4 linked regions of the Schizosaccharomyces pombe genome follow. The gene in region 1 interacts genetically with each later gene. Each region holds a gene or a part of one and is shown in the gene's direction. Other genes may lie near its edges.

Evidence for each region.
Region 2: of hob1 (region 1) and pku80, a mutation in one rescues a mutant of the other (synthetic rescue), as found in Schizosaccharomyces pombe (one study listed by BioGRID).
Region 3: of hob1 (region 1) and rhp6, a mutation in one rescues a mutant of the other (synthetic rescue), as found in Schizosaccharomyces pombe (one study listed by BioGRID).
Region 4: of hob1 (region 1) and hob3, changing one suppresses a phenotype caused by changing the other (phenotypic suppression), as found in Schizosaccharomyces pombe (one study listed by BioGRID).

The regions. Positions count from the first base shown.
Region 1 is NC_003423.3:2,419,748-2,424,230, reverse strand, and holds hob1 (BAR adaptor protein Hob1), read left to right. Parts: upstream 1-1,954; 5' UTR 1,955-1,972; coding exon 1,973-3,304; intron 3,305-3,372; coding exon 3,373-3,441; 3' UTR 3,442-3,968; downstream 3,969-4,483. Other genes in the region: cysteine desulfurase Nfs1, read right to left, coding at 1-1,471; SAGA complex subunit Sgf29, read left to right, coding at 4,250-4,483. UniProt on the Schizosaccharomyces pombe protein: Has a role in DNA damage signaling as a part of stress response processes.
Region 2 is NC_003423.3:4,302,477-4,307,162, reverse strand, and holds pku80 (Ku domain protein Pku80 ), read left to right. Parts: upstream 1-1,760; 5' UTR 1,761-1,795; coding exon 1,796-1,924; intron 1,925-1,968; coding exon 1,969-2,023; intron 2,024-2,078; coding exon 2,079-2,145; intron 2,146-2,185; coding exon 2,186-4,022; 3' UTR 4,023-4,140; downstream 4,141-4,686. Other genes in the region: Npr2/3 complex subunit Npr3, read right to left, coding at 1-5, 71-1,134; SPOM_SPBC543.02C (TPR domain protein, DNAJC7 family), read left to right, coding at 4,548-4,686. UniProt on the Schizosaccharomyces pombe protein: Single-stranded DNA-dependent ATP-dependent helicase. Involved in non-homologous end joining (NHEJ) DNA double strand break repair. DNA-binding is sequence-independent but has a high affinity to nicks in double-stranded DNA and to the ends of duplex DNA.
Region 3 is NC_003424.3:303,608-307,262, forward strand, and holds rhp6 (ubiquitin-conjugating enzyme E2 2), read left to right. Parts: upstream 1-1,998; 5' UTR 1,999-2,115; coding exon 2,116-2,157; exon of another isoform or gene 2,158-2,204; coding exon 2,205-2,269; exon of another isoform or gene 2,270-2,449; intron 2,450-2,482; coding exon 2,483-2,603; intron 2,604-2,708; coding exon 2,709-2,812; intron 2,813-2,860; coding exon 2,861-2,984; 3' UTR 2,985-3,155; downstream 3,156-3,655. Other genes in the region: SPOM_SPAC18B11.09C (serine O-acetyltransferase activity), read left to right, coding at 1-33, 109-186, 245-412; protein pat10, read left to right, coding at 856-928, 1,067-1,124, 1,164-1,253, 1,312-1,348, 1,393-1,422; U3 snoRNP-associated protein Lcp5, read right to left, coding at 3,357-3,655.
Region 4 is NC_003423.3:1,221,189-1,225,024, reverse strand, and holds hob3 (BAR adaptor protein Hob3), read left to right. Parts: upstream 1-1,819; 5' UTR 1,820-1,828; coding exon 1,829-1,876; exon of another isoform or gene 1,877-1,918; coding exon 1,919-2,665; 3' UTR 2,666-3,281; downstream 3,282-3,836. Other genes in the region: tsp0 (tspO-like protein), read right to left, coding at 1-51; pir2 (C2H2-type zinc finger domain-containing protein), read right to left, coding at 3,510-3,836. UniProt on the Schizosaccharomyces pombe protein: Involved in cytokinesis and septation where it has a role in the localization of F-actin.

The DNA.
Region 1 (4,483 bases):
CACCCTCCTGAACCAAATCCCATAACGGGCTCATATTCCTTAAGAAAGAAACTTGTCTACTCACATTTTCAATAGCATAATCAATTTCGGCTTCAGTTGTAAATCGGCCAATACCAAAACGAATAGAACTGTGAGCATTTTCATCACTCTGACCAATTGCACGCAAAACGTAAGACGGTTCTAGAGATGCGGATGTGCAGGCAGAACCAGAAGACAGCGCGATATTTTTCAAACCCATAAGCAACGATTCCCCTTCTACATAATTGAAAGAAATGTTGACACAACCTGGATATCTAGATTTAGGGTCGCCATTCAAAGATGTATATGGGATTGCAAGAAGGCCATCTATTAATCTTTGGGATAGTTTGGAAATATGTGCATAATCATACTTCATTTCTTCTTTGCATATACGGGCCGCAGTACCAAATCCCACTACTTGAGATGGAGCAAGAGTACCACTTCGTAAACCTCGTTCCTGACCTCCACCACTAATAAGCGGCTCTAAACGTACACGAGGACGTCTTCTAACATAAGCGGCTCCAATTCCTTTAGGGCCGTAAATTTTGTGAGCAGAAATAGACATTAAATCAATGTTCATTCGATTGACGTCAATGTCAATTTTTCCATATCCTTGAGCAGCATCTGAGTGAAAGAAAACCTTCTTCTGTCGACAAATTTTGCCAATCTCTTCTAGTGGTTGACAAACACCAATTTCATTATTGACGGCCATTACACTTACACAAACAGTATCAGGACGTATGGCGTCACGTAATTCATCCAAATTAATAAGGCCATTAGTTTGAACAGGTAGAAAAGTAACTTCAAACCCTTCTTCTTGGAGAGCACGTAAGGAATCCAAAACGCATTTGTGCTCAGTTTGAACGGAAACAAGATGCTTTTTCCTACTTTTGTAAAATCGGGCAACACCTTTCAAAATAGCATTATTTGATTCAGTTGCGCCAGATGTAAAAATAATTTCTCTTGGATCAGCATTGATTACAGATGCTATCTCTTGGCGTGCATTTTCAACAGCTTTTTCTGCTTCCCAGCCATAGGCGTGTGTTCGACTATGTGGGTTTCCATAAATTCCAGTGAAGAAGGGAAGCATACTATCTAGTACACGATAGTCGAGAGGAGAGGTAGCTTGAAAATCCATATATATAGGATGCAATCCCGTAACCGTACTAGCAGCGGTTTGTGCTTGATCCAAAGTTACTGTTTTCAAAGAATTTTCCGGTATGGGCTCTTGAACCGCCGTCATGTTTCCTAGCCCGTACATTTGTTCACGAGGTTTATTGCTCATTGAAGGTTTGTCCATACGACTGGAAGTCATAAACGACCTACCGTAAACTCCAAGACTCTGTCTAACATTATTAATATCCTGACTCTCTCGCTTGACAAAAAATAAAGCACTTCGTAGTTCAAGAAGGCATCTTGCTCTAGAAAGCATCAAACTTCCCATTTTGGACATGGTTGTTTCCAAAATAGAGGAAATTTTGCTAATTCTTTATTTATTTCCTAAACAACAAGAAACAAGTCCTTTTTAAAATAATTTGGCAGTTGCTAAGTTCAAATTTTGCGATCTGACTAATAAAAATTTTGGTTGGCGGCGTATCTGAAACCAACCAAAACTAAGCTTCGACCCAATACATGTAGAGCTGCGCAATTATCAGTATGTTATCATTGCATCGTAAACGACGGAGACACTGTTCAATCGAATAAAAACTGTAATAAAGAGCATAGAGACGAGCAAATTAAAATCAAATGTTTGCCTTATATTTACTATGTTTTCACCTCATCTAGATAAAAATAAAAATAAAAATAACGAGACGTTGCGTAGTATACTGTATTTGCGATTCGGCACAATTACAGGAAACGATCAGCATTGCTGCGAAGTATGCTACGTGAATACGGAGAAGGATGGTTAAGGGAATTTGAAAGGGTCAGACATACCAACTACCAGAATTACTTGATGAGCTGGAAAGGGTTTACAAAGGCACTTGCGCGTACGCCGCAGACTCTACGCAGCAAGTTTAATGTTGGAGAGATTACCAAAGATCCTATTTATGAGGATGCTGGAAGACGGTTTAAGTCTTTAGAAACGGAAGCGAAAAAGCTGGCTGAAGACGCCAAAAAGTATACTGATGCTATTAATGGGTTATTGAATCATCAAATTGGATTTGCCGATGCTTGTATTGAAATTTACAAGCCTATTAGTGGGCGTGCTTCGGATCCTGAATCGTATGAGCAAGAAGGCAATGCGGAAGGTATTGAGGCTGCCGAGGCTTACAAGGAAATTGTATACGATCTCCAAAAGAATTTGGCTTCTGAAATGGATGTTATCAACACTCGCATTGTCAATCCAACTGGTGAACTGCTCAAGATTGTTAAGGATGTAGATAAGCTTTTGTTGAAACGCGATCATAAGCAGCTGGATTATGATCGTCATCGTTCATCTTTCAAGAAACTTCAGGAAAAGAAGGATAAAAGCCTTAAAGATGAGAAGAAGCTTTATGAAGCTGAAACCGCCTTTGAACAATCTTCCCAAGAATATGAATATTATAATGAAATGCTGAAGGAGGAGTTACCTAAACTATTTGCATTGGCTCAGAGCTTCATTGCTCCCTTATTCCAAGGATTTTACTATATGCAATTAAATGTCTATTACGTTCTTTATGAAAAGATGAGTCACTGCGAAATTCAGTACTTTGATTTCAATACCGATATTTTGGAATCGTACGAAAGAAGACGCGGCGATGTTAAAGATCGCGCAGAGGCTTTGACGATTACTAAATTTAAGACCGCTAAACCGACGTATAAACGACCGGGTATGGGACCGGGTGGTAAAGATGCAACTGCTTCTTCTTCTTCTTCCTTTTCGTCAAAGCGTGAAGAAGCAGCAGCCGAACCCTCCTCTTCGACAGCTACGGATATTCCACCCCCATACTCAACGCCATCGGTTGCCGGAGCTTCCGATTATTCTACCCCAAGTGCAGGTTATCAAACTGTTCAGACGACCACTACTACAACTGAAGCAGCAGCTGCTCAATACCCTCAAGCGGCCTTTCCTCCCCCTCCAGTTATGCCTCAACCTGCTGCTGCGGCAGTGACCACACCTGTTGCTGCACCGGTAGCAGCAGCTGCAGCCGCAGTTCCCGTACCTCCACCAGCGCCTGCACCTGCTGCGGCTCCCGCCGCAGAGCATGTTGTTGCTTTATATGATTATGCTGCCCAAGCAGCCGGAGATTTATCTTTTCATGCTGGCGATCGTATCGAAGTTGTTTCACGTACTGATAATCAAAATGTAAGTACTTAAACTTAAATTTTCATTTTTTTCTTATTAAACAAGGACTTTACTAATATATATTTTAGGAATGGTGGATTGGCCGACTTAACGGTGCACAAGGTCAATTTCCTGGTAATTATGTTCAGCTTGAATAAAGCGTTTTTAAATTTACCTAGATGTGTCTTAAAATCTCGCTGCCTACTGAAGTCAATATAGAAGCTTGATTATAGGACTTGTTGTTACAGGTTACTGTTTGTGTGCGCGCTTCAACAAGTTTTACACTGCTATTCAATTTCTATCAATTTTGTCGTTCTAACTATGATGCTTAAATTTAGACATGTATTCCATACATCATCATCTCCAGTGATAATTTAACACTGTCTATGTTTGAATACTGGCTTTTTATCAACGTGTTTCCTTACTGACGTGTACTTCAAAGAGTAGCACATTTTTTGAAATGTTTTGAATAACGTAAACTTATATATATTAATTACGTTTAACTGTTTTTATTTTAATTTAACTAGTCTATCAACAAAGCTGTCCTTTCTTATATCTATACTTTAACAGTGCTAGCTAGGATTGAAGCAAAACATGATTCGAACTAGAGCTTTCATTGTGATATTGAATTTTTTGGGATTTGTAGTTTCAACAGTATAACAATCGGAATTGATGTATTCTAGCAGGAAATATACGACATACAGTATTTAGAGTCGTTGCTAAACGAGAATCGTTTAACGAACTTCGTTAACAGACAGTATTCCATGACTTAAGTGAATAGTTAACTACGTAACCTAATGCAGCAACGATACGGTAAATACAATATCGAGTGTTAATGAAATTTGTAATAAAGTAATTTGCATAGCTGATAGTATCATGCAAATCAATCTAGTAAGTGAGTTAGCACCTACCAAAGGAAATTGGATGATGAAAAGTGTTGTTTGAGAATATCAGTTACAGGATATTATGGTACGCCCCATAAATGCTGAAGAGGATGTGACATCCATGTGGGTTAAATTTCATGAAAGCCTAAATCCCATTCGGTCTAGTTTAATAAAACAAGAAGAATGTTATAAAACGGTTGATGGCGACGATAATCCAATTGAAGAAAGAATTAAAGCGTGTGACGCGGGAATTCAAACCTCTGAAGAACAGAAAAAAGAATTGGAGCATACAATGCAATCTCTTGAGATGATTATT
Region 2 (4,686 bases), 1.9 Mb from region 1:
TGAACCTGAAATATTGTAAGTTAGTATTTAATAGCAATAATAAATTTTGTTTAGACTTGACAAAACTTACGTTAAGTTAGGTTTTACTATGGCAATGAAAGAAGAAAGAAGAGAATTTTGTAAAAGAGGAACACGTTTCATTATAGTGTCTGTATCCTTTAAGAGCAACAAAGTCCAATAGGGGGCAACGAAAGGTTCAATAGAGGAAGGATGTTCTTCAGAGAAGATGGTTTGAGATGCTAAAATAGTTGATGGTCTAACCTGCAGTTCGTAATTTTCAAGTGTGTTGGTGGAAACCGACATAGGCCAGAGTAAGCTTAAGTTAATCGATTGATTTATCTCTAAATAAGCCGTATGCATGTTAATTAAAGCCTCATATGTAGTAGCAAGAACCGAAGCAAGATTTGAGTGATGAGGGATTTGAGCGGCATACACATCGAATGGGACGTTTTGGCTTGAATATTTTTCAGTCAGTTTTAAGATGTGTATACACTCATTTTCAACATAATTCCGTTTTGCTTGTTCATATTTAAGTCCAGTAACTAACTTGACTACTATATGATCATACATCGTGTTTACAGTAGGGCGATATACGGTAGCTGTAGGCACATTTAATACAAAGACGACATGAAATAAAGACATTGAAGATCTCGATTTTGATGAAGATGATTTTACTTCAAAACTTCCTGTCGAAGGGTGTGAAGATTCGGGCTTTGATACCAAATGGCTCGAAGAAGCATTAGACTCAACAGTAGTTCGTGGTTTCCTTCGTTTAGCCCACTCACCGTTCGGACCAATATGAACAGGACATCCCAAAAAAGTAAGACCATCCACCCAAATTTCAAATTTTTGATTGCAAAGTTCAATACGAGGACTTAGCATATTTGCGAGAAAGCCTTTTTCATAACCAAGTACATGTGTATCGTCAGCTACTTCAGTAAACCTATTATTCTCATCATCATCGCTGTCATCAAGGTCGAGCATCCCGATTGCAGACTCCGCTGAATCATTATTATGATGAGTGGCTTGTAGACGTACTTGAGGTTGTAGCGGCCAGTGAAAGACGAAATTAGCTCCTGATGTTGTTTTTTCAACAAGGAAAATGGCTACTAATCGAGGAGTTAAGCGTACCATTTTGGCGTTTTAAAACAAAGTATAAATGTGTATGTTCGATAATTGAAGTACATATGTGTGTTTTTTAATATATTTTTCACAACAGAAAACCAAATATCACCTTAAACATTATACCTCAAGGGGGTGGTATCGTTTTCTGGTAATTTGCGTGTAGTACGAAAGATTTGTGAGCGATATGCATCTGGCAGCTCGGTGTTTTAATCGCCTAGTACAAAACTAATAAGATCTAACATGAATAGTTAAACTGAATGTTAACTAATTATTGACATCTTGAGATATGAGTTCACGGCTTTGTAAATTAATGTGTGAATTGAAAGTAAAAGCATCGCTATGCAAAATTTCTAATGTGCGTAAAACCTTAGCAACTTTAATAGCTCCAATTCAATTCTCAAGAGTTTCTGATTTAAGTTATAAAAATGAATTGACTAATTTATATACAATGTTTTGGGTTATTTACATTTCAGTCACATGTGCATTTGCACATATGCTGCTGGACTTACTGTTAATGTAGTATATTCATACCGCGAAGAAAATACCTGAATCATTTAAAATGACCGTGTAATTGATATCTAACTGTTGAAAGCATCGGAGGCCCCAATGTTCTACAACAAATCTCACCTTGCTTTGACCTCCACCAAATCTGTATTCCTTAACAATTCGTATGAGTGATAAGGAATGTACTGTTTTTGTACTTGACTTGGGCAAAGATATGGGGACCTGTCACCATGGCAGGTCTCATTCTGATCTCGAATGGACTTTGTCGTATTTTCACGACGAATTGTCTCATAAGGTATTTTGCTCAACATTATCGACACCCTATTGACACATACTCAGTTTTTAGCAAATAGGAAGACAGACGTAGTTGGAATCGTTGGTTACAAATGCGATGGTATTCTATTGTAATGTTTTAAAGGTACACTACTTCTAACTTTTACGGTGTTTAGATACGAAAAATGATTTAGCTGAGCAGGAAGCCTATTGGAATATCAGTGTTTTGTATCCTATACAAACGTAAGCTTTCTCTTAAATGCTCCATTAACTTCTTAACTAGTGCCTTATTTTCAAAGCTACAATCCGTTTCTCAAACGTTAAAACCAAGCAATACTATGCAAGGCGATCTGATATCTGCAATAGTTGTGTCCTTTGATTTGATGGCTCGGCATTGTAAAAAGAACAAATGGAAGAAGAAGATGATAGTGCTTACGGCAGCTAGGGGGATTATCGACTTTAGTGATTACATTGGAATTGCCGAACAACTACTGCAGCATGATGTTTTTCTAGGTGTTTATGGAGTTGATTTTGATCAAGAAGATATTAATTATTCTGAGCCTTTAAAGGAATCTCAGAAAAAGGAAAACGAAGTTCGAATTCAAGAGTTTGTTGAGAGTTGTCATGGTCAGTACTGCACATTTCAACAGATTTATAACAACATCGGTAAACCTTGGGTTCGTAAAGTGAGACCTGTCGCAATCTTTAGAGGTACATTTAGTATTGGTAATAGAGACAGCAAAGATACGTCTATAAGCATACAGGTTGAAAGATATCCTAGAACTCGTTTAACTAAACCGCCAACATCATCTGCTTTTTATGAAAACGATATGTCTAAAAATTATGAATGTCTTAATATCGAAAATTCAAATGTGGAAAACAAAAGTATGGAATCTGATGCAGTGTCTACTGTTCGATCGTACATGGTTCGTGATCCAAAAACAAACGATTCTTTTGAGGTTAAAAGAGAAGACTTGGAAAGCGGTTATAGTTATGGTAGGACAATCGTCCCGATCAGCCGATCAGATGAAGACGTATTGGCTTTAGATACAATACCCGGTTATGAAATCCTTGGATTTATTCCTAAATCTAGTCTTCCAATTTATTATACCATTAGTGATACTAATATAATCGTTCCAAAAGATGACTTCGAAAGCAAATTAAATTTTTCTGCCTTTGTTCAATCCCTTGAACGTGAACACCGATATGCGCTCGCAAGGTTTGTTTCTAAAGATAAGGGCGTACCAGTTTTGCTGGTCTTGATGCCTTACGTGGAGTTTAAAAGACATTACTTGGTTGATATACAACTTCCATTCGCTGAAGATGTTCGGCCTTATTCTTTCTCAGAGTTCGAGAAACTGTCAAATGAAGAGGATATGCGACAAATTGATTTTGCCGTAAGTAATTATATCGATAATATGGATTTAGATTCCTCTGATTGTGGGTTCAATCCTCCTTTTGAGCCCGAAAATACCTTTAGTATGATACCACATAGACTTCAACAAGCTATCAGTTATTATGCAAATTCACCAGAAGGCGATCTTCCTCAACCAAATATTTACTTAACACGTTACACCAATCCTCCAAAAAGTTTACTTGATAATTGCATTTTGGACTTGAAGTTGATTAAGGAAAAACTTACAGTGAACGTCCCCGTCAAACCAAAATATTCTTCTCAAGAAACAGCCTTCGACACAGGCGCCCCAATATCAGAGGAACAAATAGAAGAACTACTAAATTCTGGTCTCGATGAACAGGAAGGAGAAAAATTATTAGTCCTTCACGTTAGTGAAAAAGACCCAGTAGGCACTTTCACTGAAGTTTTGAAAAACCCTTTTGGACTAGAGGATGCTTTGACAGAAATGGAAAAAGTAATTAAAAATCTTATTGACAAGTCTAAGTACGATCTTGCTTTGCAGTCATTGCAATCTCTCAGGTTACACTCAATTTTGGAAGACGAAGTTGAAAGATTTAATGAGTATCTTACTCGATTGAAAAAGGACGTAATGCAAAATAACAAACCCAAGGAGAATGAGCTTATTAACAAAATAAGATCATCTGGATTAGATATTATTCTCCATGATGAATTGACTAGACATGATAATTTTAATAACATTTAGCATAGGACAACAATGACTTGTCTTACTCGAACATAAATAAATAAATTTTATTAAATACTTGCAATATTTTTTTTACTTTTATCCAAATTTCTAATAAAAATTTTTAAGTCATGAATCCGCTATTTATTAGCATATAGAATACACGGTCGCAAAAATAGAAAATAGTTTTAACTTAAGTAGTTTAGGTAAACATACCTATGATATTTCAGAAAACACAACTATCGTTTAAAAACTTGGTGAGAGTTCCTTGCATTTTTTTATTTATATTCTATCTTTCACAATTACATTATTCAAAGAACATTTTAGACTTACTTTCACGAATTGGACAAATATCGGGGACATGCTTAAGGAGCTACAGCAGTGTTCCTTATTAGTGATACTAAAATTTAATAGTTTGGTCGTATCTATTTACCTACCACTGACTTTTTGATCTGTTACGCTTCGGCGATTGGAAAGCGTTCCTGAACTTTCTGTCATTTTAAATAAAATTTAAATTTTTTAAATATTTAAATTAATTCGATCAAAATGACTGAAGTCGAAACCACACACATGAATGCAGGTACAGAGAGCCAACAAGAGCCTGCTGAGCTAGCTGAAAAGCAAAAGGCTATAGGAAACGCTTTCTATAAAGAAAAGAAATATGCAGAGGCTATCAAAGCCTATA
Region 3 (3,655 bases), on another chromosome or scaffold:
ACTATTGGTAATAATGTAATGCTAGGCCCCAATGTATGTTTATATATATATATAGTTACTTTCAAGTCATTCATTCAAAAAATAAATATACTAATGGTGTCTTTCCAGGTTCAACTATGTACAGCAACACATCCCTTGGATTTTAAAGCAAGGAACTCCGGAATTGAATTTGGTTTACCAATTAACGTATGCGTTAGTCCAGTTATTGAAACATCTTACAACTAACAAACAAAATTTTATCAAGATTCAGGACAATGTTTGGATTGGTATGGGAGTTATAGTTCTCCCAGGTGTTACTATCGGGGAAGGCAGTGTAATTGGAGCGGGTGCTGTTGTTACAAAAGACATCCCACCTAATACGTTGGCTGTAGGATCACCTGCCAAACCTATTCGTAAAATTGAAAACGAGTGAACGAGTGTAATTTTTTTTTTTATTATTTCATCTAACGATTAAATGCTCTTTGAACTTCTTAAGTTCACCTGGCTTGGTTCCTAAATTTTTAAAATAGTATAAATAATATTATATTATGTTTGAGCTTTAAATTGTTATATAGAAGACTTAGAATGCTAAAAGAAATCCATTTCTCACTCGCCAAGTAGGATCAGTTTCCTCCTATGACTTGCTAAAGCCCCCACGTGGTACTGCAATCGATTTTAATTCTAATGCTTAGCCAAGTCTAAAATAGTTGAAATTCTTAGTGGGATAAGAACTCTTAACCCCCACGATATATTTGAATGCTAAATAACCTAACCTAAAACCATTTTACACATTTTATTACTAACTTCATTATATTCTTGTAGAGGAACCATCCCATTCACCAGTTCTGAAGTCTCGACAACGAAAATTCATAAAATATGGCGCCTGCAGAACTTAAACGACCTGATTTAATCGTTCCCTACAAAGCTAGAGTCAAAGCAAATGAAGAAGGTAAAGTAGAAAGCACTTTCAAATTGAACCCAATCGTGAGTTACGCTGATTTAATCGCTCAAGCTTTAGTTCATTGTGGAATATTTTAAATCCTTTCTTTCGTCAAATAATTTATTAAGTTTGCTAACCCTATTATAGTTGGCTTGAGTTTGGTAAGCACAGCCACGTGTATGGCTGCTTTATTTCTTCGTTTCAAGTATGTAAGATATTTTAGGATTTTCATGTTAACGAGAAGATTAATTGCATGGGTTGCTTTTATCCTAACCTTTTCAAATTTACTGAACGCAAATACGTCTCCCAGCTCATCTCCGACTTCAATGGCTTTGTAAGTAATCCTAATTCATTGCATTAATGTAGTTCTATGGATGTTAACATTTGATCAGTATGGGTATCGCGGCTCTTGTGTCAACATATTTACCGGTAAGTTGAATTTTTATATTTACTTTGTCGATTAACTTGTGCAGCAATTTTTAAATACTCCAAACAAAACTTAGTAATTTTTAAGTCAGTGAATTAATAAGAGTATTAAGCTGATTTTTTTCTGGATAATTAAATTTATGCACAATGTAAATATCTAATGGTGAAGAGTTCAGATACATTTCTAACTACCATTTCAATCACGTAGCAGACGCGTAAAAAATTGGCTGTTTGTGTTTTCTCATTGTTAAGCTAGTGAAAATGTAAATTTATTTCTTACATCCTGTTGCTCTTTCATTTTTTCTTCCTAATGTATTTTAGTTGCTTTTTTAAACCCAATGAGAACAAAGGCTTAAAGTAAATATATATAATTTTCACATGTTCAACAGTTTACCGTTAACAAATGCACGGACCTTGATTATGATTAATGGTTGAATGAAAAATATCAACTTTCCTTATCTTTAACTATAATTTAAATGAAGTAGTAGTTCATTAATACTAAAGCAGACTTGCATTGCAAATGCTGAACATTACTAAAAGGTTGGTCTAGTTATAAGGTAACTGAGCGTGCACTTTATTATTTTAACGTGTTGGGTGCGCCCCATTAATAATGAAATACTGCATATGAGTGAATGGTCCTACTATTGTTCCCTGCCCTTCTCCAACAACGCAAATCGGATATCCTAACTCGGTGTAATTCCAAGGCGATATCGATATTTGTGCAACTTTTTTTTAAAGTTATCACAAATAGAAGAGAGGTTGCTATAAAAATGTCAACGACCGCAAGAAGACGTCTCATGCGAGATTTTAAGGTACGGCAGTTGTGGATCCGAGAAGACTTATATTAACCAATTCTTAGAGGATGCAGCAAGATCCTCCTGCTGGAGTTTCAGCTTCCCCTGTCTCTGACAATGTAATGCTTTGGTAAGTGTTTACCTATGTCAATTCATTTTTCTCTTATTGTTATGCAACGTAATGGTGAATATATGTGCTATATATTGAATGCCTTTTTTGCCATATATTTAGGAAGGAGATCGTTTCAAAATTCTTACAAGAAGCGATCTTTTTATGCTTGTTGGTTTCTGGATTGATTGCTTTTGTTTTTTATTATTGATGTTGGACTAACCATTTGAGCAGGAATGCTGTTATCATTGGCCCAGCAGACACTCCATTTGAAGATGGAACTTTTAAGTTGGTTCTTTCTTTTGATGAACAATATCCTAATAAACCTCCTCTTGTAAAATTCGTCTCCACAATGGTATGCTTAGTCATTGTATTTAGACAAGTCTTAAATTAGATTATTTGATTTGTTGTAATTTACTTTTTTCTTGGTTTTTTTTGTTTACTTACTTATTGGCTTTAGTTCCATCCAAATGTGTACGCAAATGGCGAACTTTGCTTGGACATTCTGCAAAACAGGTGGTCTCCAACTTACGATGTGGCAGCAATTCTTACCTCTATTCAAAGGTTTGCTTTTCAGAAATATTACTTAAATTTCTCATAACTAACTTTTAGCTTACTTAATGATCCAAATAATGCGTCCCCTGCAAATGCCGAAGCTGCTCAGCTGCATCGTGAAAACAAGAAGGAGTATGTGCGTCGAGTACGAAAAACTGTAGAAGACTCCTGGGAAAGTTGATTTCAAGACATAGCTGTCTTAATAATCCCTATTTCATTAGAACTTACTCTTCTTTTTCAACCGCCTTTCACATTAAATCTATTTAAGTGCTTCAAAGTTGCCAAAATTGTAACTATAGTAAATCATTAAGATTTTTTTGTTTACATCTACGAATGAATGATTTCTTCCTTATGTTTAGAACTTGTAAACTATATTAATGTGCGACTAATCACATATACAGACATGTACATGCAAAATTTATATTGATCTTATTAAACATAACCTGCCCTAAACCACACAAAAATACCAAACCAAGCGCAAAAACTCCATTTTTTTAAATACATATGGTCAATTTTTTTAAGTAAACCTCAACGGCTGTTCCCAAAATAATGATTAACGACGTTTCAAATTCTTCTTTCTTTTACGATATGACTGGCCAATTTGAACAGGTGAAGCTAATGAGCCATCGTTAACGTCTTCAAAATTAGCACGTCTCTTAGCTCTAGAAGTCAGGTCTAATTTACGATTTGAAAAGTCATCGTCATGGAATTTGCGATCAAGCAATGACCAGTCTTCACCACCATAATCGTGTTTCTTTACACGTTTAGATTTCTTTAAATCTTTCTTCGATAATTTAGGAAGGCGAGTATAATTACTTTCCTCATACTCTATCCTCTCACGCATTTTTTGCA
Region 4 (3,836 bases), 1.2 Mb from region 1:
GGACCACCAATTTTTGGAGATGCTAGTGAATACTTGATAGTTCAAATCCATCACACTTAATAATATCGTTTACTGTTGATTAGCGAAATCGGGAAAAAAAAATTCCACGAATGTAAAGAGTACTAACAACGACTGCTACTAAAAAACCATAAGTATTTCGAATCTTAATGCAGCTCGTTTACAAACAGCAGAGATAATGTCGAGATACAAAAGGTCTTTCAAACCATGCTAAGCAAATAGACATGGAGTAGCTAGAGTTAAGTTTGATAATTAAAACTGACATACATTAAACTAGAAATTTGGAGAAGAGTTGTTGAAACTTCTAATTGAATTGAAGATTAGTAAAATTGGACCATAAAGCTTAACCATCTTTCAATCTTCCATACATTTTAAAAACGGGCACAGTATCGATATGAGAGAAATACGATACTAAACTAAAATAAAAGGAAATACTTAATTGTAGTTTGATCTTGGAAGCTACTCGAATGTATAATTCACCATATTTATAACCTCGTCTATTACGTCACAGAAGGGAAGGAGGAGCGAGGTATTGGGGTATAATACGTGTTCATACTGCGTAAGGTGGTGGTAGATGTGTCTCGCTAAAAAGTGTTTATAAGGAGTTTTCCATAAGATAATATTTTCAGTACAACTAAATTTTTTATATTATTAATATTATATTATAAAATTATGTATATCTATTAGTAGCAGCGCTTGTTTTCTGTAATAGAATATATTTGGGCTGGTCAAATGCGGTTAATTATCATCACACAGATGAGATTTATGGGCAAATTTAGTTATAAAATTAGATAAGACAACAAAGAGAGAAGAAAGGTTTATTTCGGTGCTTTTGTTTCTTACTTTCAGAAGAATCTTTCTCTTGGGCATTATCTGGATGTCTTACTGCCCACAGAACAAACAAACTGTCATTGAATGGCTGAGTTCTTGTTTCAATATCTAATATCGCTATACAATAGCTCTCAAAGTAATGCACCACTACTACAACTTAAGTTCTTCACTTTTTGAGTAAGGATGCAAACTATGAGACCGGGTTTTTTTAGCTCAAATGTCGCTGAAAAGCGTTTTCTTTATAGTTTTATCATGAATGATCTCATATATTGATAAGTAGCAATCGTGTCTTTCCATGTCGAAGCCTCAAAACATTATATCCATATAATGCAAAACCATTTATTCCACCACTTCTAATGAAATTTATAAGTTGGTAAAATGTCCGTATTTCAAATTGCTTCTCCACAATATCTTCCATTTATGAGCAAACGATATTACCTCTATATTGTCAAGTTAAAATGTTTACATTGATATATTATATTAAACTATAACATAACTATATTACCTTATAAGGCGATTTCTGCTGGATGCAGTTAGTGAACAAGAATTATCTGAGGATAGACCTCTAATTGCAGTCAGAGATTTACTACAGATGATTATACAAGAAAAATTTAGATATATTTTTTAAGCGATGTAATTTATTGATAGTGACATGAAAGTAAGCCAACCCTCGAAACCCAAATTTACCACCATTATGCTCTTGCTCTATCAATTAAACACAAAATTAACGACACGCTTTTCATCCTTATCTTTTTATAATTGCATTGTGAAATAAACTATCATTATTCTATTTAACGCAATGATAAACTTCGCAATCAGGCTTTACGTTATGGCTTTGCTTCCGTGAATTGTTCCCTACGCGAATCCTGCTGAATCCACTAAAAGATCCAATGCAGCTTAGCTAGCGAACATTAGCGCAGCGATCAACTGACATAAGATATCTGGGTATGCCGACGCTTCTCTTTTCCATATCACAAAAATGAGTTGGCATGGATTCAAAAAGGCCGTTAACCGAGCGGGTACCTCGGTATGTATTTGAGTGTTGAAGAATTGTCTAACATTGTGGTAGGTTATGATGAAGACGGGTCATGTTGAGCGAACGGTGGATCGGGAATTTGAAACAGAGGAAAGACGTTATAGAACTATGGAATCAGCTGCAAAGAAGCTTCAAAAAGAAGCCAAAGGTTATCTCGATGCTTTGAGAGCCATGACTGCGTCTCAAACTAGAATCGCTAACACAATCGATGCATTTTACGGTGATGCTGGATCGAAGGATGGTGTCAGTGCATACTATCGACAAGTCGTCGAAGACTTGGACGCCGATACCGTAAAAGAGTTGGACGGTCCTTTCCGGACAACGGTGTTGGATCCCATCTCAAGGTTCTGCAGTTACTTTCCCGATATTAATGCCGCTATCACGAAGCGTAATCACAAATTACTTGATCATGATGCTATGAGGGCTAAGGTTCAAAAACTGGTCGACAAGCCTTCCAACGACACTACTAAGCTTCCCCGTACCGAGAAAGAAGCAGCCATGGCGAAGGAGGTCTACGAGACACTCAATAATCAACTGGTCAGTGAGCTTCCGCAACTAATTGCTCTTCGTGTGCCTTATTTGGACCCTAGCTTTGAAGCCCTTGTCAAAATTCAGCTCCGCTTTTGTAGGGAGGGATATGAGAAAATGGCTCAAGTTCAGCAATACTTTGACAACTCTGTACGCGAAGACTATTCCAATGGTTTGTTGGATGATAAAGTTGAACAAGTTTTACAGAGTATGCGGGATCTTTCCATCGCCGGTTTGAACAACAGTCAGTAGACATCGGTTTTTTAAACACGATTGTATGTGTGCATAGCGCTATCACTCTGTTTTCTCTTTCCTTTTCTCCTCCGAAATAATTGTTACTACACGTAACCATGATCTCTTATCCCTCAATACTTTTTGTTTAACATATCCTTTCTCTTTTACTACTTTATTACCATCTTATCTTGTTTATCTGAAGTGGTTCACGGAATGTTTTCAATTTATTCAATTTTTTGTGATACATAAATATTTTCCATACTTATCTATCCTCGAGTATTTTCTATTGGTGTTACTGGAATTGAAGGGAAAGCCAGCACATATTTATTAAAGACTCAACTGTGAAGCTTCTACATCCTTTCAGTTTCGTAACGTTTCCTTTATAATTTTTTAATTGGGAATAGTTATCAAATTATCAGATAAACAAATTGGTTTTCCAATATTGTCTGTCGACCCAGCGATTCATCTACTAAACTGTGCTTATTTTCTATCTCGTACCAAGTTTTGTTCTAATAAATAACTATTGTTAAGTAAGTTTAGACCAAATCTTAAAATATAATAATTAGAAAAAAAAATGCTTTTGTTGACTTACGAATTATTAATTTGAATTGTAATTTATTAATTTTCCAAACAATAGCTATCTTGTAAGCTGTAAGTCAAGTTGGAAGTGGGTTTATTTCTATCTGTGCAGCGTTCGATGTTTGATTTTCGAACATGGACTTAAGCGTTCAATTTTACAATAGCTGTGAATGTAGATTATCGCTACTTTAAAATCTAAAATATAGTATGGAGCTACAACTGCTAGTAACGTCTATACAGGAAATGATATTAACCAAAAATCTTTCTGACTAAGAACATAAATTTAGTAATCTAATTCTGGAACCTCCTGGTTAGGCGCATCCAAATCTTGATAAGTTCTATAGAATTCCCGTCTGTGGATCATGGGTTCTTGCCTCGAATAAGATTTTTGTGATGATGCTCCAGAAGTTATCTCCTCGTCATTTCGTCGACTATAGCTTGTTGTTGGAAATGTATAGTTTGCGTTAATATTTCTGAAACCAACGTAGGGCTTGTTTAAAATCTGTAAGGATACATACGACGTGCTTACCACTTTGGGATCCATAGCCCTACATGGGTCAAGCACATATCCATAGAGACATATAGCCACCTTTTTAATGTGATCCAACCA